Linked DNA regions of Stegostoma tigrinum. The protein of the gene in region 2 interacts with the protein of the main gene of each other region in a biochemical or structural test. Links are inferred from orthologs where the notes say so. Each region holds a gene or a part of one and is shown on either strand. Other genes may lie near its edges.

What was found. The genes of interacting proteins can lie anywhere in the genome.
Region 1: the proteins of peptidyl-prolyl cis-trans isomerase FKBP1A-like (region 2) and glmna form a complex in vitro, tested with the Homo sapiens proteins (2 studies listed by BioGRID). The link is inferred for Stegostoma tigrinum from reciprocal best matches to the Homo sapiens genes FKBP1A and GLMN.
Region 3: the proteins of peptidyl-prolyl cis-trans isomerase FKBP1A-like (region 2) and ryr3 form a complex in vitro, tested with the Homo sapiens proteins (2 studies listed by BioGRID). The link is inferred for Stegostoma tigrinum from reciprocal best matches to the Homo sapiens genes FKBP1A and RYR3.

Annotation. Positions count from the first base shown.
Region 1 is NC_081361.1:86,511,255-86,518,943, reverse strand, and holds the start of glmna (glomulin, FKBP associated protein a), read right to left. Parts: upstream 3,016-7,689; 5' UTR 2,932-3,015; intron 2,866-2,931; exon of another isoform or gene 2,525-2,865; intron 1-2,524.
Region 2 is NC_081372.1:6,545,532-6,553,209, reverse strand, and holds the start of peptidyl-prolyl cis-trans isomerase FKBP1A-like, read left to right. Parts: upstream 1-4,655; 5' UTR 4,656-4,751; coding exon 4,752-4,788; intron 4,789-4,961; coding exon 4,962-5,009; intron 5,010-7,678. UniProt on the Homo sapiens protein: Keeps in an inactive conformation TGFBR1, the TGF-beta type I serine/threonine kinase receptor, preventing TGF-beta receptor activation in absence of ligand.
Region 3 is NC_081363.1:67,235,376-67,242,527, forward strand, and holds the start of ryr3 (ryanodine receptor 3), read left to right. Parts: upstream 1-4,137; 5' UTR 4,138-4,202; coding exon 4,203-4,250; intron 4,251-7,152. UniProt on the Homo sapiens protein: Cytosolic calcium-activated calcium channel that mediates the release of Ca(2+) from the sarcoplasmic reticulum into the cytoplasm in muscle and thereby plays a role in triggering muscle contraction. May regulate Ca(2+) release by other calcium channels.

The sequences.
Region 1 (7,689 bases), on a different chromosome or scaffold from region 2:
CTATTGTCAAAATAAAAAGATGAGGATGGCTTGCATGTAATACATTAGCATCCCTATCAAGGGTTGGATACTATAAACTTGGGCTTTGCCCATAGGCAACATTCAGGTTGTTCATCAGAAATCAAAACAAATACATGTTAAAATCGCTTGCATGTGTTTGAAATGACACATGACTCAAACACACAGCATAGCTTGCCCATTAGCCCTTCTGAAAATCAAAGCTTTCCAGATTGGAAGGTTACAAAAGCAAAGAAAGTTGAGAAAATTTGAATAGCCAAGCTGAATCCTTCTAGTTTTTAAGCTTTGGAGGAAGGCAAGAATGGGATGGAAAGCAAAATGAAAAGGATGAGTAAGACAACACTGGAAAGAAAGAAGGGCCTTCTTATGATTGCGGATTTGAAAAGAGATCTTGTTTTCTGGTTTGGGCTTGTATTTTTTTTTCATGCAGGGCCTACAGTTTTGGGTATGAGATTCATACTGTGTATTGGACATTAAAATTCTGTAAAATCATTTATCCCACTTTGGTTTTGATGTAATACCAAGCTATACTGTACAGGTACATTTCTGGGGAGAGCTGGAGTGCTATTCTGTATGTACCCATTTCACAGTGTATATTGAACGGATCAGGCAAGAAAACTTCCCACCATAGTACTTCTTCACATAAATGAGCAAGACAATGGAAATCAAAAGTTTAGCTTGCAATATTTATTATTTACAGTCTAAAACTCTTCATATTTTCAGCTTTGCTTCATTTGTTGCACAGACTGCACACCCAAACACTGCAATTCTGCCACACAAACAGCTTTCTCTACCTGTCAACATGGAGACAACCTCCTGCCTTATCACAATTTTCCATAATGCTGAAATGAATCATCGAATTCCCAGTGGGGAAGAAGCAAGTCATTCAGCCCATTGAGCCCATACCAAATCTCCGAAAAGCATCCCACCCAAACCCACCCCACCCCCTAAACTATCCTTGTAACCCCGCATTTCCCATTGCTAATCTACCCAACCTCCTCAACCCTGGACACTACTGGCAATTTAGCATGTCCAATCCACCTAACCTGAACATCTTTGGAATGTGGGAGAAACCTACACAAACATGAGGTGAATGTGCAAATTCCACACAGATAGTCACCCAAGTGTGGAATCGAAACTGTGAGGCAATAGTGCTAACCACTCAGCCACTGTGCGCCCAATTGCATATGGCTAAGTTTTTTGTATGCTACGCTTCATAAGGAGGATTTTATCGTGGATTTAGGATAGTAGAATTTTCTTATTTAGTGAAACAGCATATCATTGATGATATTTGATTCTGGCTCAATGACTTCGGGTGGCTGTAGAGTTGCTACAGTCTAGTGTCTTTGCAGTAAATAATACAGAAATGAATTGAAAGGCTTAAATTTTAAAAAATAAGGTAGCATAGTTACTGAAAATGTTTGCCAAATTTGTTCAGTTCAGTGTACCTTTGATGATCATCATTGTCTCTTTGGACTTAATAAAGTTGATTTAAACGTGAATGCACCCACTTGTCATTCAATGCCATTCCTGAATACTTTGGAAAACAAAGTGCACTTATCAACTAAATTGCCTACTCTCAAACTAACTTTTTTTTTCAATATTGAGTGGTACATATTGCAAACACTCAGTTTCCTATATCACAATGCATTAAAACTTGAAGCATGACAGCATTGATTCTAATGACTGGAAGGAGCTTTTCACCAATTGCTATGTTGGGCAGCACACTGACTAAGTGGTTAGCACTACCGCTTCATAATGCCAAGGACCCAGGTTCAATTCCAGCCTCAAGCGACTGTGTGGAGTTAGCACATTTTTCCCACGTCTCCATACGGACTCATAGGTCAAATAGCCTTCTTCCACACTGCAGGAGATTTTGTGAATCATTCAAGATGGCAACAACTGGTCCATCAAACTGCATAATACTTTATGTTCAAATGCCTTAAAGATGAGGAAGATCAGTAGTAGAGGAGGGGGAATAAAAAAAACAACAAATCCTGCACTCCAGATCTCATCATTTCAGGACCGTAAGAGGCAAAATGCCCAAAAGTCAAGAACTTTCTTGCTTGTTTGCTTGAAAAAAACTTGTGATTTTAAGTAGATGTTATCTTGAATCGGAGGCCAGCAAACAATATCCAATTACACTATTGCAATAAAAGCCAAAAGAACTTCAGATGCTGTAAATCAGGAACAAAACCAGTAGGTTCTGGAAAAGCTCAGCAGGTCTGGCAGCATCTGTGAAGAAATCAAAATTAAGTTCTGAGTCTAGAGACCCTTCCTCACAACTGACAGTAGCTGCGGAAAACATCGGTTTGTAGGGAGAATATAGGGAGGGTGCCGGGGTAGGGAGTAAACAAAGGATAAAGGATACAGCCCGAAGAAAGAGAAGAGCAACTGGATAGACAAAGGAGTTGATAACGATTAGGCTGGGTTCAATGACTAACAAACAGGTAGTGTGAAATGAGGTAACAAGGTGTCTAGAAGGTGCGTTCATCCAGCTCCACACCTTGTTAACCCTCCGCTATTTCTTCTGGATCTTGAGTGGGAAGTTGGAATCACTTTGGTATTGTCACTGTCTTAGGTGTGAGACTTTGAATGAGAGTGCTGCACGTCGCAAACACGCAAGAGGGGTTACAGCCAGGAGTGAGTTGCAACTTCTTTGCCAATTCATGTGAGAATAGACTTAAACAGTGGATGGATTTACGATTGCAATTAGGTTGCGCATGACATCAGCAAGTAATCTAAATCCCCTCCAATCGACTCAGCCCAAATAATAAAAAATCCATTTTCCACTCGTAATAGCTGAAGATACAGACGGTAACATCAGCGATCCCCCGCCATGTCTGACCGGCTGAGACACACGTGCCAACCGTTGACGGTTGGGTTTAAACAGCATCGTACTATCCCACTTACCTTCACGACGCAGCTGCGCAATATCCCCTTCAGCAGGCGCACTTTCAGGACGCAATCCTACGTTGGAAGGGGGACGGATTTCCTTTCGATCACGTGATACTATGTGGCCACGCCTCCCATGGTTCCCAACTATTAACACTCAGAGATAATGGGACCTGCAGATGCTGAAGAATCCAAGATATCGAAGTGTGGAGCTGGATGAACGCAGCATCTCAGGAGCACAAAAGATGACCCTTCATCAGAAAAAAGGGTCTAGACCTGAAACGTCAGCTTTTGTGCTCCTAAGATGTTGCTTGGCCTGCTGTGTTCGTCCAGCCCCACACTTTGTTATCAAAACCCTCAGGTTGTCTGTCAATACATATATCTCTGTATTTAAAAATCTGCACCGTGGAGCAAATGACAGCATACTCTAGTTGCTGGAAACCTGATTAAAATCAACAGAAAATGTTGGATAATAAGGTACTCAGTAAATCTATGAACCAGAAAGGCAATTGAACCATCCATTATAAATAATCTGTAATGCAGGAGCAGTTTAGAGGGAATGATGGAGAATTGTTTACCAACCAGAAGGCACAAGTCAGGACTGTGACAGAATACTCTCCATTTGCTGTGATGAATGCAGCTCCAGCAAGTTATAGGAAGGATATAGTCAAGCTGGAGAGGGTTCAGAAGCGATTTATCAGGATTTTGCCAAATATGGAAAGTTTGAGTTATATGGAAAGGCTGTGACTTTTTCAGTGGTGCATAGGAGGTTTGAAAGGTAACCTGAAAGAAGTTTATAAATAATGAAAGGTATAGATAGACTTCATGGTAGTTGTCTTTTCCTTGGGATGGCCATTTCCGGATTAGCGGACACATTTTAAGCTAGGAGGAGAGAAATTTTAATCACACAGCATGGTTCATGTGTGGAACGAACTGCCTGAGGAAGTGGCAGATATGGGTAGAATTACAACATTTAAAAGACATTTGGATAAGTACGTGAATAGGAAACATCTGGAGGGATATGGGCCAGGAGCAGGCAGGTAAGGCTAGTTTAGGATTATGTTTGCATGGACTGGTTGGATTGAAGGGTCTGGTTCTGTCCTGTATGACTCTTAAGACTCAATAAGCTTAACATTATTTGAAATTAAAGCAAATGCCTGATTGGCACCCCATTCATCACCTTGAAATCTGCTTCCTCCAACAAGGATGTACAGTTAATAGTAATGTGTAACTGATATAAATTGACTGCAGCAACTCACTAAACCTCCTGGGACACTCTTCAAAATCTTGAGCACTGCCATCTAGAAGAATAAGGACAACAGATGCATGGGAACGCTGCCTGAAAGTTCTCTTTCAAGTCTCAGACCATCGTGATTTGAAAACTATAGCGCCATTCCTTCACTGTCACTGGATCAAAATCCTGAAACCCCTTCCTTCAAAATCAAGAGCCATCTGGACAGAGCAGGTTGTAAAAGATGTTCCCAATATAGGAAAGATTGAGAACCAGAAAGCACAGAAGGTGAATGACTAATGTAGGCTGTCTGTCCTAAATTGGCAGATCCTATCACCTGGCAAATCTTTCAGCTGATCACGACAAGCAAGATACTGATTTGCCCAACCTGCAACATTGTGTCCAACATTAGATGTGGTTCTGCACTGGACAAAATTTGCTGGACAACTGTGAGTTTACAAGGAATTTCACTGAAAAACAAGTCAGGAATGTCACCTTTGACAACTGTCTTGAGTGTAGTCTCCTTGTTCTCTCTATGTCTGTGTCAATTTCCTCTAGGTGCTCTCGTTTCCTCCCACAGTCCAAAGATGTTCAGGCTAGGTAAATTGGCCAGCCTAAATTGCCTGTAGTGTCCAGGGATGTCGAGCTAGTAGGATTAGCTATGGGGAAATGCAGGGTTATAGGGATAGGATAGAGGGTCGGTTTGGGTGTGATGCTGTTAGGAGGGTCAGTGTGGACCCAATGGCCTACTTCCACACTAAGGATTCTGTGCTTGTCTGTCAGTCTTACAGTATGGTGCAGTTGTGTATGCAGGAGATATTAATATAAGACCTTGTTCTTTGCAGACAGAATATGTATATGTACTGTTTCTCAGCAGGGTGGCTCAGTAGTTAGCACTGCTGCCTCACAGTGCCAGGCACCCATGTTCGATTCCACCCTCGGGTGACTGTCTGTGTGTGGAACATTCTCCCTGTGTCTGCAGGGGTTTCCTCCGGGTGTTCTGCATTCCTCCCTCAGTCCAAAGATGTGCAGGCTAGGTGAATCGGCCAGCCTAAGTTCCCTGTAGTGTTCAGGGATGTGTAGATTAGGTGGGTTGGGCAGGGGGGTTTGCTGTAAGGCTCAGTGAGGACGTGTTGGGCCAAAAGACCTGTTTCCACATTCTAGGGATTCGATGAAAATAGGTGATAGCAATTCACTGGTTCATTTCATAGGACAATGCCCTGATCAATTAGAGTCAACCTGCCCTGTTAAAATTTAAACAGGCCCAGCAGTTAACTGTCAATTGTCAATCTTGCCAATCAACCAATATTTTCCTCTCATGCAGTAAAAATATGGTTTTTCCTTGAATTGGCATTTTTTGCAAATTGTACATAGAGTACGGTACAAAACTTTGAGAAGATATCTTGTTTTCAGTAATACCCAATTGTATGTCAGGATTGATATATTCGAATTAAAGATGTACTTGTTTGAAAATGATTTGAATCTGATTTGAAAATGTTTTCAATTCCTCTATCAAAATAACTTGTGTTTACAATCAAAATATGTAATGGGATGTCGTGAAAACATGTGGAAGTTGTTACATGTAAGAATGATGACAATGTTAAATTGTAGCAGATTGAGGACTTCCCTCATGATTCAGGGAATAAGTTGTTTGTTGTTTGCCCTCAAAATTGCAGTGACTGAATTGCAAGAATAGACTGTTTTGCTGTGAAGCATTTTGAGATATCCTCGCATATGAAGTTTTGTTTTCATCTATATTGCTCATTTATATCTAATATGCAGTAGTTTTATTTTACTAAATTTCTACACTTACTTGTGCCAGCAAATTTCCAGCATTTCAATGAATTAAAACCTTTTAATATTTCCTCACCTCTTTTCTTAGAGCAAATGAAAAATAAACAAATTCAGTACAAAGGGGACGCAATTAACATTAGAAGCAAATAAATTGTTGACCTTACAACATCAATATACTTTAATCTAACATAGTAATGAACTGTAAAAGATGCCAGGTATTTTGTTGTTAACTCCATTATCATTGACTAATTAGTCAAGTATTAAATTAAAAGGACAACATGAGTTAATAGGTTTATTTGCATAGCATTCTGTTTTAGATTATGTCCTAGAAATACATCCGGAATACATAAACTCATTGTAAGTTTCACTATAACATGATGTTTCTTTGGTATGTGGTCTTGAACTGTTTTAGGAAGCTAGCCATGGGCTACAAAACTGTGTACTAGCCAGTCCCTAGTAATGATTAGTGCCTTAGGAAAGATCTAGCAGCTGCTAGATTTTCTTCTTGTATAATAAGATTCAATTTTCATACTGTGACTGCTTCTTTGTTCCCAATAATAAATTATTTTCCTGTATTCTGACCATACTTTGTTTATAATTTTTGTTAACGTGAATTATACTGATATAAACTTTTTATTGACTGCTTATTCGCAGTTTGACAGCATGACATAATCCTTTTGTTCCTAAGGAGATCATTGGTAATTCAACTGGAAAACTAGTGCACACAGGTTTTACCTGAGTTTTTAAATGCATTTTATTTCAAACAAACATACGTTCTTGTCTAAAACCTAAACATTTTCAACATCAGTTAAATAAGTCATACATGTAACATTTCATATGTATCTCTTTTGACCCAAGCTTCAATGCTTTTAAATAATTTGAATGCTTTCAAGATACCATCAATAGATATTTTGCCTAGAAAAAAATCTCCAACAGTCATATGCTGGCAACAAATAACAAACATATCTTGCTACTTTTTAACTCACCTTTTGGCTGAGTTGGAGTTGGTTTTAACTCCAACTGGAATCTGACAACGTCCTGATAACACAGCTCCCTAAAATGCTGAGAGATAGCAAGAACTGCAGATGCTAGAGTCAGAGAAAAGTGTGGAGCTGGAGGAACACAGCAGGCCAGGCAGCATCAGGGGAGAGGTAAAGTTCAGAGGAAAGGGTCCCGACCCGAAACGTCAACTTTCATGCTCTTCTGATGCTGCCTGGCCTACTGTGTTCCTCCAGCTCCATACTTTGTTATCCCTGAAATGCTATTTCATCCAATCCTTTGATTGTCTATCTCTTCTCTGAATTTTTACAACTGCACCATCCCAAGTGGACAGCTGATTGAGATTTCACTTGTATAGTGATAATGATTCCCTGTTTTTCAAATTGGGTATCGTAAGCCATACAATACACTTGGAGAATTTGTATGTGCTTGAAGCCAGATGCTAAGAGGTGTTCAAAACAAAAGACAATGGTGCTTCTGAAGAAGTGTCTAGGCCCGAAATGTCAGCTTTCCTGCTCCTCTGATGCTGCTTGGCCTGCTGTGTTCATTCAGTTCTACACCTTGTTATCTCAGTGCTTCTTCTCCTTGATTTCCCTTCCTGTCGAAAACCAACCACTTTTTTGAAAGATAACAAAGTGTGGAGCTGGATGAACACAGCAGGCCAAGCAGCATCTCAGGAGCACAAAAGCTGATGTTTCGGGATGAAGGGTCTAGGCCCGAAACGTCAGCTTTTGTGCTGTCTGATGAAGGGT
Region 2 (7,678 bases):
ATGGTGTCTATACTAATGGTCAATTGGGCATTATTACCTAATGCCAATCTCCTGCTTTTTTTCTGTCCCTATGTATTTCTATCTATTTGGTCATTGAATGCCCTCTTGAATGTTTCAATTAAACCTGCTTGCATCCCACTTCTAGGCAGTACATGCCATTTCCCAAATACTGTACTCACCACGTATAAACACTTTTCTCACATCATATTGTTCATTTTGCAAACACTTTACATCTATGTCTTCTAGTTCTTGTTCCTTTTAGAAGTGGGAACAATTTCTCCTCCACTGTCTACAGTATATTCTTAATTTTGCAGACCTCTATCAGATCTCTTCATCATTCCAAAGAGAACAAAGAATCCCAATTTCTTCAGTTTATCCTCATAACTGAAGTTTGTCATCCTTCCTGTAATGTGGCACCCACAACTATACACAATTCTCCACGTGAGGCCTAAAATGCATCATATACAAGTTCAACATTATCTCTAACACTAACTAGTGTACTCCAAACCACAATTAGTGAAGCCCAGAAGACCATGTGCATTATCAATTGGTCTCTGCACCTACCTTGCCACCTTCAATGATCTGTGCACATATACATTCAAGTTCTTCTGTACCTGCACCTTCTTTAGACTTGTACCCTCTATTTTCTTGTCTTCCAATGCTCCTCCTGTCAAAATGTATCAACTCACACTTCTCTATATTGAACGTCATCTACACCTATCTGTCCACTTCACCAATTTGTTTACTTCGAGTTCTAAACTACCATCCTCAGCTTACAATACTCCTGAGTTTCATGTCTCTGCAAATTTTGAAACTGTCTCCTGCACACAAAAATCTAGATCATTGATATATATATCAGGAAAATCAAAGATCAAAAGGAAGATGGAACACATTCAACACAGAAGAGAAGAAAGCCCTGCAAAGACTCAAGAAAGACAGTAACATTGTGAACTTACCGGCAGGCAAAAGATGCATGCCAGTAATCCTCAACAAAGCTCAAAACATTGAGAAAGCTAATGGTCTAGTAGAATATACTAACACCTGCCAACAGATGGCAATATATCCAACACCAAGTTAGGAAAGCGGATTGCAATGACCCTGAAGAAATTACGCAACTCAGGAGACATCAGCAAGACAGGCTACCAAAAAAAAAAGAGGAAGCCAGAGGGATCCAACACATCCCGATTCTACGGATTCCCCAGGATCGCCCTAAGGACTCCCTCAGACATGCTGTCTCACTGCCAGGTAGACCAACATATAGACTTGCCAAAGAACTACACCAAAAATTAAAATACTTAGTGGACAATACCACCCACTCCATCCACTCATCTCAAGGATTCCTCAACATCATCAAGAACACCAGGATAGAAGAGAATGCGATGATGATATCCTTTGACGTAACAGCACTATTTACATCCATAAACATTGATCTAGCCAAAGAAAGAATTGCCACACTGCTGGACGAATCAAGCAAGCCAGCAACCCAACACACCAACATCAATAAGGACACCACCATGAAACTACTATAGCTGTGCCTCACAACCCACTTTACCTTCAACAACAGCATACATGAACAAATCAATGGAAGACCAAAGGGATCCCCAATATCAGGACTGATTGGACAGCACTCTCCACTATACAATCCAAACTTTGGGTCTGATATGTAAATGACACATTTGTGATCATCAAACACACAAAGAAGAAACGCACCAATAAACAACATCCTTACCGGGATAAAATTCACAAACAACTGACTACCCTACCTGGGCATAATCGTAGAATGCAAAAACTACAGGGAACTCCAGGCTCGTGTATATAGCAAGACCACACATATGGACCAAATATTCAATTACACTAGCAACCACCCCAACACCCATAATCGGAGCTGCATCAGGCCACTATTTAAATGAGCCACAAGACTTTGCAGCGTGTCAGAACTATGCAAAGCAGAACAGGAACACTTACACAGAGCCTTCAAAAGAAATGAATACGCAATAAGCACAATCCGCTGTTACCTCTGAGGCAGGCCACAACAAGATTCGGGGCAGCGCGGTGGCACAGTAGTTAGCATTGCTGCCTCACAGCACCAAGGACCCGGGTTCAATTCCAGCCTCGGGCGACTGTCTGTGTGGGATTCCTCCAGGTGCTCCGGTTTCCTCCAACAGTCCAAACATGTGCAGGTTCGGTGGACTGGCCATGCCAAATTGCCCGTAGTGTTCAGGGAGGCGTACGATGGGTCCGGGTTGGATGCTCCAAGGTTCTGTGTGGACTTGTTGGGCCGAAGGGCCTGTTTCCACACTGTAGGGATTCGAATTCTAAATCTTTAAAAAAAACCACATGGCCAGAATCACTAATCACCCTACCATACATCAAGAATATTTCAAGGATGAACACAAGACTACTCAGACCCCTAGGTATCAGACTAGCCTACAAATGGACAACCACCTATGACAGCTACTGACGAACGTAAAAGATCCCATACCCAAAACCAGCAAAACTGAGGTGATATATAAAATACTATGCAAGGACTGTAATAAACACTACATGGGCCAAACCAGAAGAAAACTGACCAACTCTCACTGGTCACGCGACACAAACACGGAGGGATATGAATTCAACAGGGACAACACATCGAAAATTGCACAAGCCAAACAGACACACCAGGGAATTTTTGGAACCCTGGTATTCCAGTCACAAACACATTGGTTTGTACACAGGATCTAATTCACTGAGAAACAAAAAGTAAAATCAACCACCCCAGCAAACCGAAGCATATAGATAACAAGCAGGACAGAACACCGATGCTTCACCGGAGGCACTCCGACAATGTTACCTAGCAGGGTAACAAAACATTTGCAACCAAACCCATCTGCTCAGTGACATGTCTACAACCTCAAACATATCCACGGACAATTACAGTCAATTCTGAAGAGTCACTGGACCTAAAACATCAACTCTCCACAGTTGCTGTCAGGCCTGCTGAATTTTTTCCAGCAGTTTCTGTCCTTGTTTCTGATATCCTGCATCTGCAGTTCTTTGATGAGGAGCTGGAGGAACACAGCAAGCCAGGCAACATCAGAGGTGGTGGTTTTGGCTTGGGTTTTTCTGAAGAAGGGTCCCAACCCGAAACATCAACTTTCCTGCTCCTCTGATGTTGCCTGGCTTGCTGTGTTCCTCCAGCCGCACACCATTATCTCTGACTCCAGCATCTGCAATTCTTACGATATCTGCAGTTTTTTGCCTTCTTTTACTATTACACCTTGTTTCCAATCATGCAATCAATTTAGTATCCATGATTGCCAGTCCTTTTTCTCCTATGGCTAATAATCATGGTAAAGTCTGTTGTGAGGTGCTGCATCAAATACCTTCTGGAAGTCATGTTCATCACATCAACCACATTGGACTCATCAAACCTATTACCTTAAAACAATTCCAGTGTGCTAGTCTAACATGTCTTCCCCTTCAGAAATCCATGCTGACTCTTACAAATGAACGCAACTATTTCCATGTGACTAATTGTAAGCCAGATAATTGTTTCAAGGAGCTTCCCCTCCACTAGAGTTAAACTGACCAAACCAGAACATATTTTCTGTTCATGAGCGATAATTTTCTTGACAGTGTGTTCTATGGTTTTTGGGTAAACTGCAGCTGTAAATAATAGTGCATGTATTGTTTTTAATAAAAGCAGCAATGTTTGTACAAAATGTAAACATGCATTTTCTAGCTTACACATTTTTAACCTAATATTTGTTTTACAACGTGAAGGTACATATTAAAGGTAACTCATTGAGCAACCAATAACAGTAGAAAACAAAAACATCAAAAGATCAGTTGTAATGGGGTATCAAATGGAGGATAAAGTTCATGCGATAAGTTGCTTCAACACAATGCTGAGTCCAGAAAGTTACAAACTGCCCTATTCCAAATTCCTCCAATTTGCATTGGGCTTCACTGTTGAGGCTATTCACATACATTAGTAAACTGAAACACAATTGTGGAGTAACAACTTCAGCCACTCAGTCCATTCCCTCTGTTTAATCAGAACATGCATTTCAACTTGTATTTTCCAGCTCTTATTCATACCACAGTCGAATCATTAATGCTTCTCTCTGCAGATGCTGCTGAGTTTCGCACAGAATAATTGAAAACAGAAACTGCATTCGTTTATCTCGGAACAAGTATCACTGGACTCGAAATATTATATACTTTCCCTCCACAGATCTGCGGGGCTCCTGTAAAGATTCTTTTCAGGTTTTTGTTTGTTTGTTTCAGATCTCCAAAACCCGCAGTTCTATGTTTTACTCTCTTTTTATTTCATGTTTGGGTCTTTCACTTTACCTGCCTTACTTCAACAGAAAATATCGAAACCTCATCGATAGAAACGTCTCGGACTAAAACGCAGTTGGACTTTACAGACAAAACCTGCAACGAAGGACTAACAACCGCAAAATCTAGCCTCAGGTTTCCAGAATGTTCCAGGAGAGCCCACTGCGGCGGCGCATGCCGGCCAACCAATCCGATTCGAAATCCCCGTCCAACGACTCCTCATCCGGGCGTTTGGTGAAGCGGGATCCCGCCTACCCTTTGCCCATATTAGGCGCTGGTGGTCAGCCTTTCGCTCCTAATTGGCGAAAGTCAGTCAGAAGCAGAGCTCTGATTGCTCCGCGTAGCAGCCCGCGCGCTCCGCCCCTCTGAGTCCTCGGCGTGAGGGAGGAGGAGGCTGATCGTCAGGCTCGTTGTTGAGCGAAGCCATGGGAGTGCAAGTGGAGACTATCACCCCCGGAGATGGTATGGCGTTACCAAGCAATTTCCCCATGGCGATAACTTCACCCTGGGCAGGGGCATGGATGAGAGGCCTGGTCTACTGCGTTTCGGGGGAGGGAGAGTGTTTTTATTTGCGGTCGGGCTGTTGTTTTTAATGCAGCAGTCGCCGAGTCTAATCTGCGTCTTTCCTCTCTCAGGGCAAACCTTCCCCAAGGCTGGGCAGACCTGCGTTGTTCATTATACGGGTGAGTAGAAAAGGATCCCACAGTCGTCTCAACTCGGTGCGGGATCATGGCGTGTAGGTGTTAGGGCGGGGAGGTAGGTGCTGCGCGAAGGTGGGTCCCCGCGGTTGCCGGGGCCGGGGATGGCTGTGGCGGGCGAAAGCGACCGCTACAGGAGCTGGGATTGTGGATCCTTATTCTTTCCCCCGGGTGGGGGTGTGACTCCCTGCCGAGGAGGTGGAGGAAGGCTGGAGGGAATGAAGGAAGAGGATGCTGATAGATAAAGAATGCCTACAGTATAGAAGCAGGCCCTTCGGCCCAACAAATCCATACCGAACCTCAGAGCATCCCAGCTAGCCCCCCCCCGCCGTAACCCACCTAAATCTACATCTCCCTGAACACTGGGCAATTTAGCATGGCGAATCCGCCTAACCTGCACATCTTTGGACTATGTGAGGAAACCAGAGCAAGCAGTGGAAACCCACTCGGACACAGGGAGAATGTGCAAACTCCACACAGACAGTCGCTCGAGGCTGGAATCGAACCTGGGTTGTGGCGCTGTGAGGCAGCAGTGCTAACCACTGAGCCACTGTAATGCCTGGGTGCTAGTGGAACCCGTTCTGTGGTGGCGTTTGGCTGTGGGTCCTTGTCTGTGAGAGTCTGCAGTAAGGATCCCTGTGGGGAATGTCAGTAATTGGGGACCCTGAGCGTATTGAGTTTGAATCTTTGGTGAAAGACTTGTTAGTGGGGGACTGCAAGAGTAGATATTAGACAGGGGCAAATAGGACTGGGTAGATTTCTGTGGCACGGCTATAAGCATGGATTCCTCTTGGGAGGTGAAGTACTGTAGAAACTTGAGGATGGTGCTGAAAGGGGATCACTGCTGGGGAGGCATGTTGGATTTGATTCCAAGTTGGAGTCATGAATAGGGAAAAAGAATCCTTGTTAAAATTGTACAGGTATGCTGTAGCCATACCTACAGTAGTGTTAATGAAAAGGTGTGCCCACATAGGAAGTACAGTGAAGGTTCACTCCATTAGTCCCTGTGATTAAAGGGTTGCTGTATGATGAGTGGCTGAACAAACTGGGTTTAAGTTCTGTGACATATAGAAGATTAGATTCCCTACAATGTGGAAATAGGCCCCTCGGCCCAACAAGCCCACACCACCCCTTGGAGCATCACCACCCAGACCCATCCCTGTATAACCCACACACTCCTGAACACTATGGGCAATTTAGCATGGCCAATCCACCTAGCCTGCACGTCTTTGGACTGTGGGAGGAAACCCCACACAGACACACAGGGAGAATGTGCAAACTCTGCACAGGCTGGAATCAAACCCGGGTCCCTGGTGCTGTGAGGCTGCTCTGCTAATCACCGAGCCACCATGCTGCCCATTGATCTAATGATTCAAGGCTCTGAGGGGTAAGGTCACTGATGTTCAAGGAATCCAAAACACAGGAGTGCCGTTTTAGCATAAGACGATTTTTTCTTCTGGGACTAAGAACTTCATCCTTCTCCACTTGGAGGATTGAGTCCCTATCATTGAATACTTTTAAGCTGAAACCGACAATTTTGATTCCTCAGCTAATTGAGTGATCTGGGGAGAAGCAAGAAAGTGGAGATGAAGCTGGAGATCAGCCATGATGTGTATTGAATGGCAGAACAGATTTAGTGGATCTCATGATCTTCCCTATTGGAGGGGTTTCCCCCTGTGGAAGCGAGTTTCTGTGGGGAGGGTGCTGCTGTTGGAGTGTGTCACTACCTGGTAGACACTGAGCTGTTGTGGTTGCTTTTTGAGTCTGACTGTGAATCTCTGAAGGGTGTGGGGCTGAGTGGTATACTGTGGTTGAGATTAGGACTTGGTGAGCTCTGTGGGATGTTGGTATGAGTTAATTCGTAGAGGGGCCGAAGGTTGTTAAGGTTGCTGGTTTGAGATAGGCTGACTATACCTGCAGTTGTGTGGAGCCTACTGGCTGTACTGCACAGCTGAGATTGGGTGCAGCCTGAAGCAGGTTGGGGAGACTGGTTTTGAGATGACATGAAGGGTTCCCAAGGACCCTGGAAAATCTCTCCTCATCTCAGCCTTAAATGGTCAGCCCTTATCCTGAGTGTATGGTCTGTTTTAGATTCCTGAGCCAGGAGAAACAACACTCAGAAGTTTACCCTGTCAAGCCTTTCAGAATCATATTTGTTAAAGTTCCAGTGATGCTTCAACTCCAGAGGGCATAGGCCCAAAAGTTTCTCATAAGCAGCCTTAATGGAGTTAATGTGGTAAGACTTTGCTGTGCCTCAAGTGGTTTTTCAAATGTCTGGTGCAATTGTAGCAAATCAAAATACCTACTGTACATTTTTGGGGGACACATTTTATAAAATTAGGTTTTTTAAGTGGTTAAACATGACAGCTGACGTTTTTTGGTGATAACTTGCTTGCCAGGATGTGTATTGGGGGGACTGCAATGATTAGTCAAAAAATCTAACATTTCATTCGAGGGGTGGAGCTTTTGTTGTGAAGAGAAACTTGCTGTTGGGCAAGTGCTTCTTTGACCCAATGCCTTTTTGAGAACATGAGCATTCTTATAACTTTGGTCTTGCAAGTCTCCGGATCTCTCTATCACATTGCCTTCATTTGCACAGGCTGTGGCCTTTCTCCTAAAACTCGTTGCCATCATGTCTTCTAATGACCTGTTAT
Region 3 (7,152 bases), on a different chromosome or scaffold from region 2:
GTTTTCTATCACTGTGTAAATTAAGCCTTTTGTTCAGTTCGTGAGTGAAACGGACAGCAAGCAATGCGGTTCTCCAAAACTTGCTCACCACCTACAAGGCACAAGTCAGGAGCGCATTGGAATGCCCTCCATTTGTTTGCATAGGTGCAGCTCCAACAACAATCTAGAAGCTTGACACCATCCAAACAAAGCAGCCATCTTGAGCAACAACTTAAAAAGGAGTTGAACAGCTCATCCACTTCACCAACACCTTCCACCCCAACCTTAAGTTTACCTGGACCAAATCTGGTACCTCTCTTGCCTTCCGGGACCTCTTTGTTTCCATGTCTGGCAAGCACCTCGAAACCGATATCCATTTCAAGCCTAAGATAATAAAATGTGAGGCTGGATGAACACAGCAGGCCAAGCAGCATCTCAGGAACACAAAAGCTGACGTTTCGGGCCTAGACCCTTCATCAGAGAGGGGGATGGGGGGAGGGAACTGGAATAAATAGGGAGAGAGGGGGAGGCGGACCGAAGATGGAGAGTAAAGAAGATAGGTGGAGAGGGTGTAGGTGGGGAGGTAGGGAGGGGATAGGTCAGTCCAGGGAAGACGGACAGGTCAAGGAGGTGGGATGAGGTTAGTAGGTAGCTGGGGGTGCGGCTTGGGGTGGGAGGAAGGGATGGGTGAGAGGAAGAACCGGTTAGGGAGGCAGAGACAGGTTGGACTGGTTTTGGGATGCAGTGGGTGGGGGGGAAGAGCTGGGCTGGTTGTGTGGTGCAGTGGGGGGAGGGGACGAACTGGGCTGGTTTAGGGGTGCAGTAGGGGAAGGGGAGATTTTGAAACTGGTGAAGTCCACATTGATACCATATGGCTGCAGGGTTCCCAGGCGGAATATGAGTTGCTGTTCCTGCAACCTTCGGGTGGCATCATTGTGGCAGTGCAGGAGGCCCATGATGGACATGTCATCTAGAGAATGGGAGGGGGAGTGGAAATGGTTTGCGACTGGGAGGTGCAGTTGTTTGTTGCGAACTGAGCGGAGGTGTTCTGCAAAGCGGTCCCCAAGCCTCCGCTCGGTTTCCCCAATGTAGAGGAAGCCGCACCGGGTACAGTGGATGCAGTATACCACATTGGCAGATGTGCAGGTGAACCTCTGCTTAATGTGGAATGTCATCTTGGGGCCTGGGATGGGGGTGAGGGAGGAGGTGTGGGGACAGGTGTAGCATTTCCTGCGGTTGCAGGGGAAGGTGCCGGGTGTGGTGGGGTTGGAGGGCAGTGTGGAGCGAACAAGGGAGTCACGGAGAGAGTGGTCTCTCCGGAAAGCTGACAGGGGAGGGGATGGAAAAATGTCTTGGGTGGTGCCCGCTTTGCAGAACACCTCCGCTCAGTTCGCAACAAACAACTGCACCTCCCAGTCGCAAACCATTTCCACTCCCCCTCCCATTCTCTAGATGACATGTCCATCATGAGCCTCCTGCAGTGCCACAATGATGCCACCCGAAGGTTGCAGGAACAGCAACTCATATTCCGCCTGGGAACCCTGCAGCCATATGGTATCAATGTGGACTTCACCAGTTTCAAAATCTCCCCTTCCCCTACTGCACCCCTAAACCAGCCCAGTTCGTCCCCTCCCCCCACTGCACCACACAACCAGCCCAGCTCTTCCCCCCCACCCACTGCATCCCAAAACCAGTCCAACCTGTCTCTGCCTCCCTAACCGGTTCTTCCTCTCACCCATCCCTTCCTCCCACCCCAAGCCGCACCCCCAGCTACCTACTAACCTCATCCCACCTCCTTGACCTGTCCGTCTTCCCTGGACTGACCTATCCCCTCCCTACCTCCCCACCTACACTCTCTCCACCTATCTTCTTTTCTCTCCATCTTCGGTCCGCCTCCCCCTCTCTCCCTATTTATTCCAGTTCCCTCTCCCCATCCCCCTCTCTGATGAAGGGTCTAGGCCCGAAACGTCAGCTTTTGTGCTCCTGAGATGCTGCTTGGCCTGCTGTGTTCATCCAGCCTCACATTTTATTATCTTGGAATTCTCCAGCATCTGCAGTTCCCATTATCTCTCTCCATTTCAAGCCTACTGACTCACACAGCTACTTAGAATATACCTCCTCTCACCCAGCTTTGTGTAAAAATACCATCCCCTATTCCCAATTTCTTCACCTCCGCCACATCTGCTCCCAAGATGAGGCATTCTACCCCCAGACATCCCAGATGTCCTAATTTTTCAACAATCGCAACTTCCCCTCCACAGTAGTCAAAACGCCCTTGACCATGTCTCTCACATTTCCTGCAACTCATCCTTCCCACCCCTTCACTGCAACAACAAAAACAGAATATCCCTCATCCTCGCGTACCACCCCACCAACATCCAGATCCAGTGCATCATCCTCTGGCACTTCTGCCATCTGCAATCTGACCCCACTACCAAAGGCATTTTTCCCTCCCCACCCTTATCTGCCTTCCAGGGGGACCACTCTCTCCGTAACTCCCTTGTCCGCTCCACACTCCCCTCCAGCCCCACCACACCCGGCACCTTTCCCTGCAACCACAGGAAGTGCTACACCTGCCCCTCACCTCCCCCCTCACCCCCATCCCAGGCCCCAAGAAGACCTTCCACATCAAGCAGATGTTCCCCTGTTAGGGGAAACCAAGCGGAGGCTTGGAGACCGCTTTGCAGAACACCTCCGCTCTGTTCGACAAGTGAACCTCCCACTCCTTGGACGACATGTCCATCCTGGGCCTCCTGCAGTGCCACAATGATGCCACCCGAAGGTTGCAGGAATAGTACCTCATATTTCGCTTGAGAACCCTGCACCCCAATGGTATTAATATGGACTTCACAAGCTTCAAAATCTCCCCTCCCCCCACTAAAATCACAAACCCAGCCCAGCTTGTCTCCGCCTCCCTAAACTGCCTTTCCTCCCACCTATCCTGCTTCGGGTGACTGTCTGTGTGGAGTTTGCACATTCTCCCCGTGTCTGCGTGGGTTTTCTCCGGGTGCTCCGGTTTCCTCCCACAGTCCGAAGATGTGTAGGCTAGGTGGATTGGCCATGCTAAATTGCCCGTAGTGTTCAGGGGTGTGTGGGTTATGGGGGATGGGTCTGGGTGGGATGCTTCAAGGGGCGGTGTGGACTTGTTGGGCCGAAGGGCCTGTTTCCACACTGTAGGTAATCTAATCTATCCCCTCATCCCACCTCAAGCCGCACCCCCATTTCCTACCTACAATCCTCATCCCACCCCCTTGACCTGTCCGTACTCAGTGGACTGACCTACCTCCTCCCTACCTCCCCACCAACACTCACCTTTACTGGCTCCATCCCTGCCTCTTTGACCTGTCCGTCTCCTCTCCACCTATCTTCTCCTCTATCCATCTTCTATCCGCCTCCCCCTCTATCCCTATTTATTTCAGAAGCCCCTTCCCCTCCCCCATTTCTGAAGAAGGGTCTAGATCTGAAATGTCAGCCTTCCTGCTCCTCTGATGCTGCTGGCCCTGCTGTGTTCATCCAGCTCTACACCTTGTAACTTAAAGCGTCACTCGCCTCTCGCTCATCCTCACATACAGCTTTGATCATGTCTATAAGATGAACTGCAGCAACTTTCCTAGGCTCCAATTAGTTGACATAAGTGACTTTTACTGTGGAGAAATTTAAGGGCACACCTGGAACTAACTGGGTCAAAATCCTACAACTTTCTCCCTAACTGCACTGTGGGTGTCCCTAGCTCCTGGGGACCGTGGCCGTTCAAGAAATTCACCCACCCACCTACTCATGGGCTATTAAGGACGGTAAACAAGTGCTGAACTTGCCAACCCATGCAATAGATAGTGTTGACCGTCTTTGTTCCTTAATAACCGATAACATCGCGAGCGAGGTGCCTCGATCATAAATAGTAACAAAGAACAGCGTGTTATCTTCACTCTGCAGTGAGTGGATTTTGGGATTATATTTGGATTACCGACAACTTCCCCCTTAATGTGAAAAAGTCAACACGGAGTGTACGTTGCTGCTGTCGGAATTTGCCATGGAAGGACAGGCACAGGGGTAGGGACAGTGGGCTGATTGACAGTGGGTTACTATAGCACTCGGCGTGACCAGCCTCCCCTATAAGGATGTATATGGATCGGTCTACGCTAATACTGGAACAGGAGCCGTGTGCTGACAGCAGAGGGAACGAAGGGTCCAGCGTGTGAGCGGAGCCGGCTCTTCAAACAGCCATGGCTGAAGGGACTGAAGGGGAAGATGAAATTCAATTCCTCCGAACTGTGAGTAAACGACTTGCCCACAATCTAAATAAAAGCCGAAAGAACTGAGGATGCTGTAAATAAGGAACAGAAACAAAAATTGCTGGAAAAGCTCAGCAGGTCTGGCAGCATCTGCGAAGAAAAAAAACATCAGAGTTAACATTTCGGGGTCCGGTGACCCTTCTTCAGAACTCATCTGGGTTGCAACGTTAACTCTTTTTTTTCCTTCACAGATGCTGCCAGACCTGCTGAGCTTTTCCAGCAACTCCTGTCTCTTGCCTCCAATCTCGTTAGCAGTCTGACGCCTTGAGCGGTTAAAGTCGTTCGATCTGATGCTGTCCAGCAAACATAGATTCCGGCGCTGCAGGAATGTAGTGAGAAATTGTCGGACAGCCGAGCAGTTTTACATTTAATTGTATTCGCCTTTAGTGAACTTCTTCGCCCTACCCTGGTGTGATAGGCGCAACCCTATTTCTGGACGCTTCTGTCACACACCAACAATAAATTCCCATTCCGTTGGGATCATGCCGTGCCGTGAACTTTTACAGCGTCTTTCTTGAACTCTCTCCTCTCTGCCTCTGGGAGATTATCTCAGCAAAGATTCTTTATCCACCGAGGTAATGCATTAACACCGGCTTGAAGTTTGTCACGCAGCAGATTTGGTTAACAGGCAGGGCAAATGATTTTTTTAATGTACATTAATCAGATCAGGTTCGAAGTTATAACGAGTGGCGCATGGTAGCATCTGTGGAAGACGGTGGTTTCCGAAAGCAGAGCTGTGGAGACTTAATTCAGGCTAACTCTTACACAAACTGGATTTCCTCAGGCACTGACTGGGCTTTCCCCAGCTAAGAGGTAGCGATACAGAGCTCGAAGTTCATCAGTGCTAGAGCGGCGGTGCCTATTTTTGGAGAGGTGACTGTGGTCTATGTGCGGAATGTGCCGCCCCACAGTTGGACTGTAAGCGATACGGACTGGCAGAGCACACTCGCTCAACAGGTGCATTGTATCGAGTACTCCCCCCTCGCTAGGGATTGTAACACCACGCACTGCTCAGCGGCTCTGGGAACAGAGAGACAGAGGGAGAGAAAGAGAAATACTCAGGAGTAGCAGCTTTTAATTTTGTTCTTTGTAAGGTTGAGGTGATGCGAACTTCACTTAGACCGTGGTGAAGTTTCAGTGCCATTGGGACAGTCCAATGTAAAGACGGCTTCAAATTTCACTCAAAGAATCATACAGCTCGGGAAAAGACCCTTCGGCCCACAACGCCTGCGCTGACACATGACGCCTTTTTAAATTAAAAATCTTTTTGTCTGCTCAGTAAATATCCCCCATTTCCTCCCAACCGATTCATGTTTCTGTCAAGATGCTTCCTGTATCCACTTCTACCACCTTCTCTGGCTGTCTCCCCAGGCACTTACCACCTTCTGTGAAAAAAAATGCTTCTCATATCTCCTTCAAATTCCCCCCCTTTACCTTAAACTTATGTCTCCTAATAGTTGAAATTTCTAATCTGAGGGAAAAGAATTCCATTTATCCATTCTACCCCTGCCTGTCCTTAGTTCGTAAACTTCTGTCAGGTCACTCTTTAGCCTCGAAGTTCAAATGCAAATTTTGTCCAATTTCCCCTCATAGCAAACACCCTCCAAACCAGGCAGCATGCTGGTTTAACAAAAAGTTGCTAGAAAAGCTCTGCAGGTCTCGCAGCATCTGTGAAGGAAAAAAAAAGTTAACATTTCGGGTCCAGTGACCCTTCCTCAGAAGCTTTTCTGTACCCTCTCCAAAGTGTTCACATCCTTCTGTGGCATCAGAACTATACACAATATTCCCAATGTGGCCTAACTGAAATTCTACACAGCTGCACACATTAATACAATCTAGGAAAGCTACTCAGTAATGGTGCCCTAAAAACATCGCCAATTATTGTAAATTGGGTTTGCTGTGTCCTTCAGGGAAGAAAATCTGCCATCCTTACCTGATCCGGTCTACACATGACACCTGCCCTTAAGGCAATGTGGTTAACTCATAATTACACACTGAAATGGCCCAGCAAGCCACGCATTTCATAAGAGTGATTAGGGATGGGCAATAAATGCTGGACTTACTGGCGATCCCTACATGTCATCAATGAGTCAAGAAAAATTGGGAAGATGGTGCTTGAGTATGCCTGCATCCTCCTTTATCAGACATTAGCATCACAACCCTTGCCCTCCATCTCCACAAGTGAAAAGCACCGAAACTTAAGTCTTGAACATATATGCCCTGAGAAATAATTACGTTTCTTTCTTAATCTGATAGTGGAAGCACTGCACTTATATGAGACTAAACAAAAATATATGCTTAAGTGTTGTAGAAATTAGCGGGTTAAATGGGGAGAGTGCAATTTAATTGGAGATTTCTGTCTCACTGCTGTTCACAAGGCAGAATCATTCTTTCAGAGTATTTTATTTAATTGAGATGCTGGAGTCACTAACAAGATATTGTGTTCCTTACTAAGCTCTTGGAGAAGATAATTTGGAATAAAACAAACCTAAAGCACTGTGGATGCTGGAAATTAGAAACAAAAACAGAAATTGCGGGGAAAATTCAACACGTCCGGGAGCATCTTTGGAGTGACTGCAGCGCCTTTTCCAGTGTATGGCAAGGGTGTAACAGTGATATTTTTAATCTACTTTGAACAGCATAATCTCTGTTACGATGGGTTCTGGTGGTATGTTACAGTTGCCTCAGAATCATAGAATCCCTCAGGCATTGGAGCAGACTGATCAGCCCATTGAGTCCACACTGACCATCCAAAAAGATTTCACCCAGAACACACTCCTAGCTTATCCCTGTAACCCTGCACTTCCCATGGCTAAACCATACAGCCCACACTTCCTGGACACTATGAGCAACTTAGCAAGGCCATTCCACTGAACCTGCA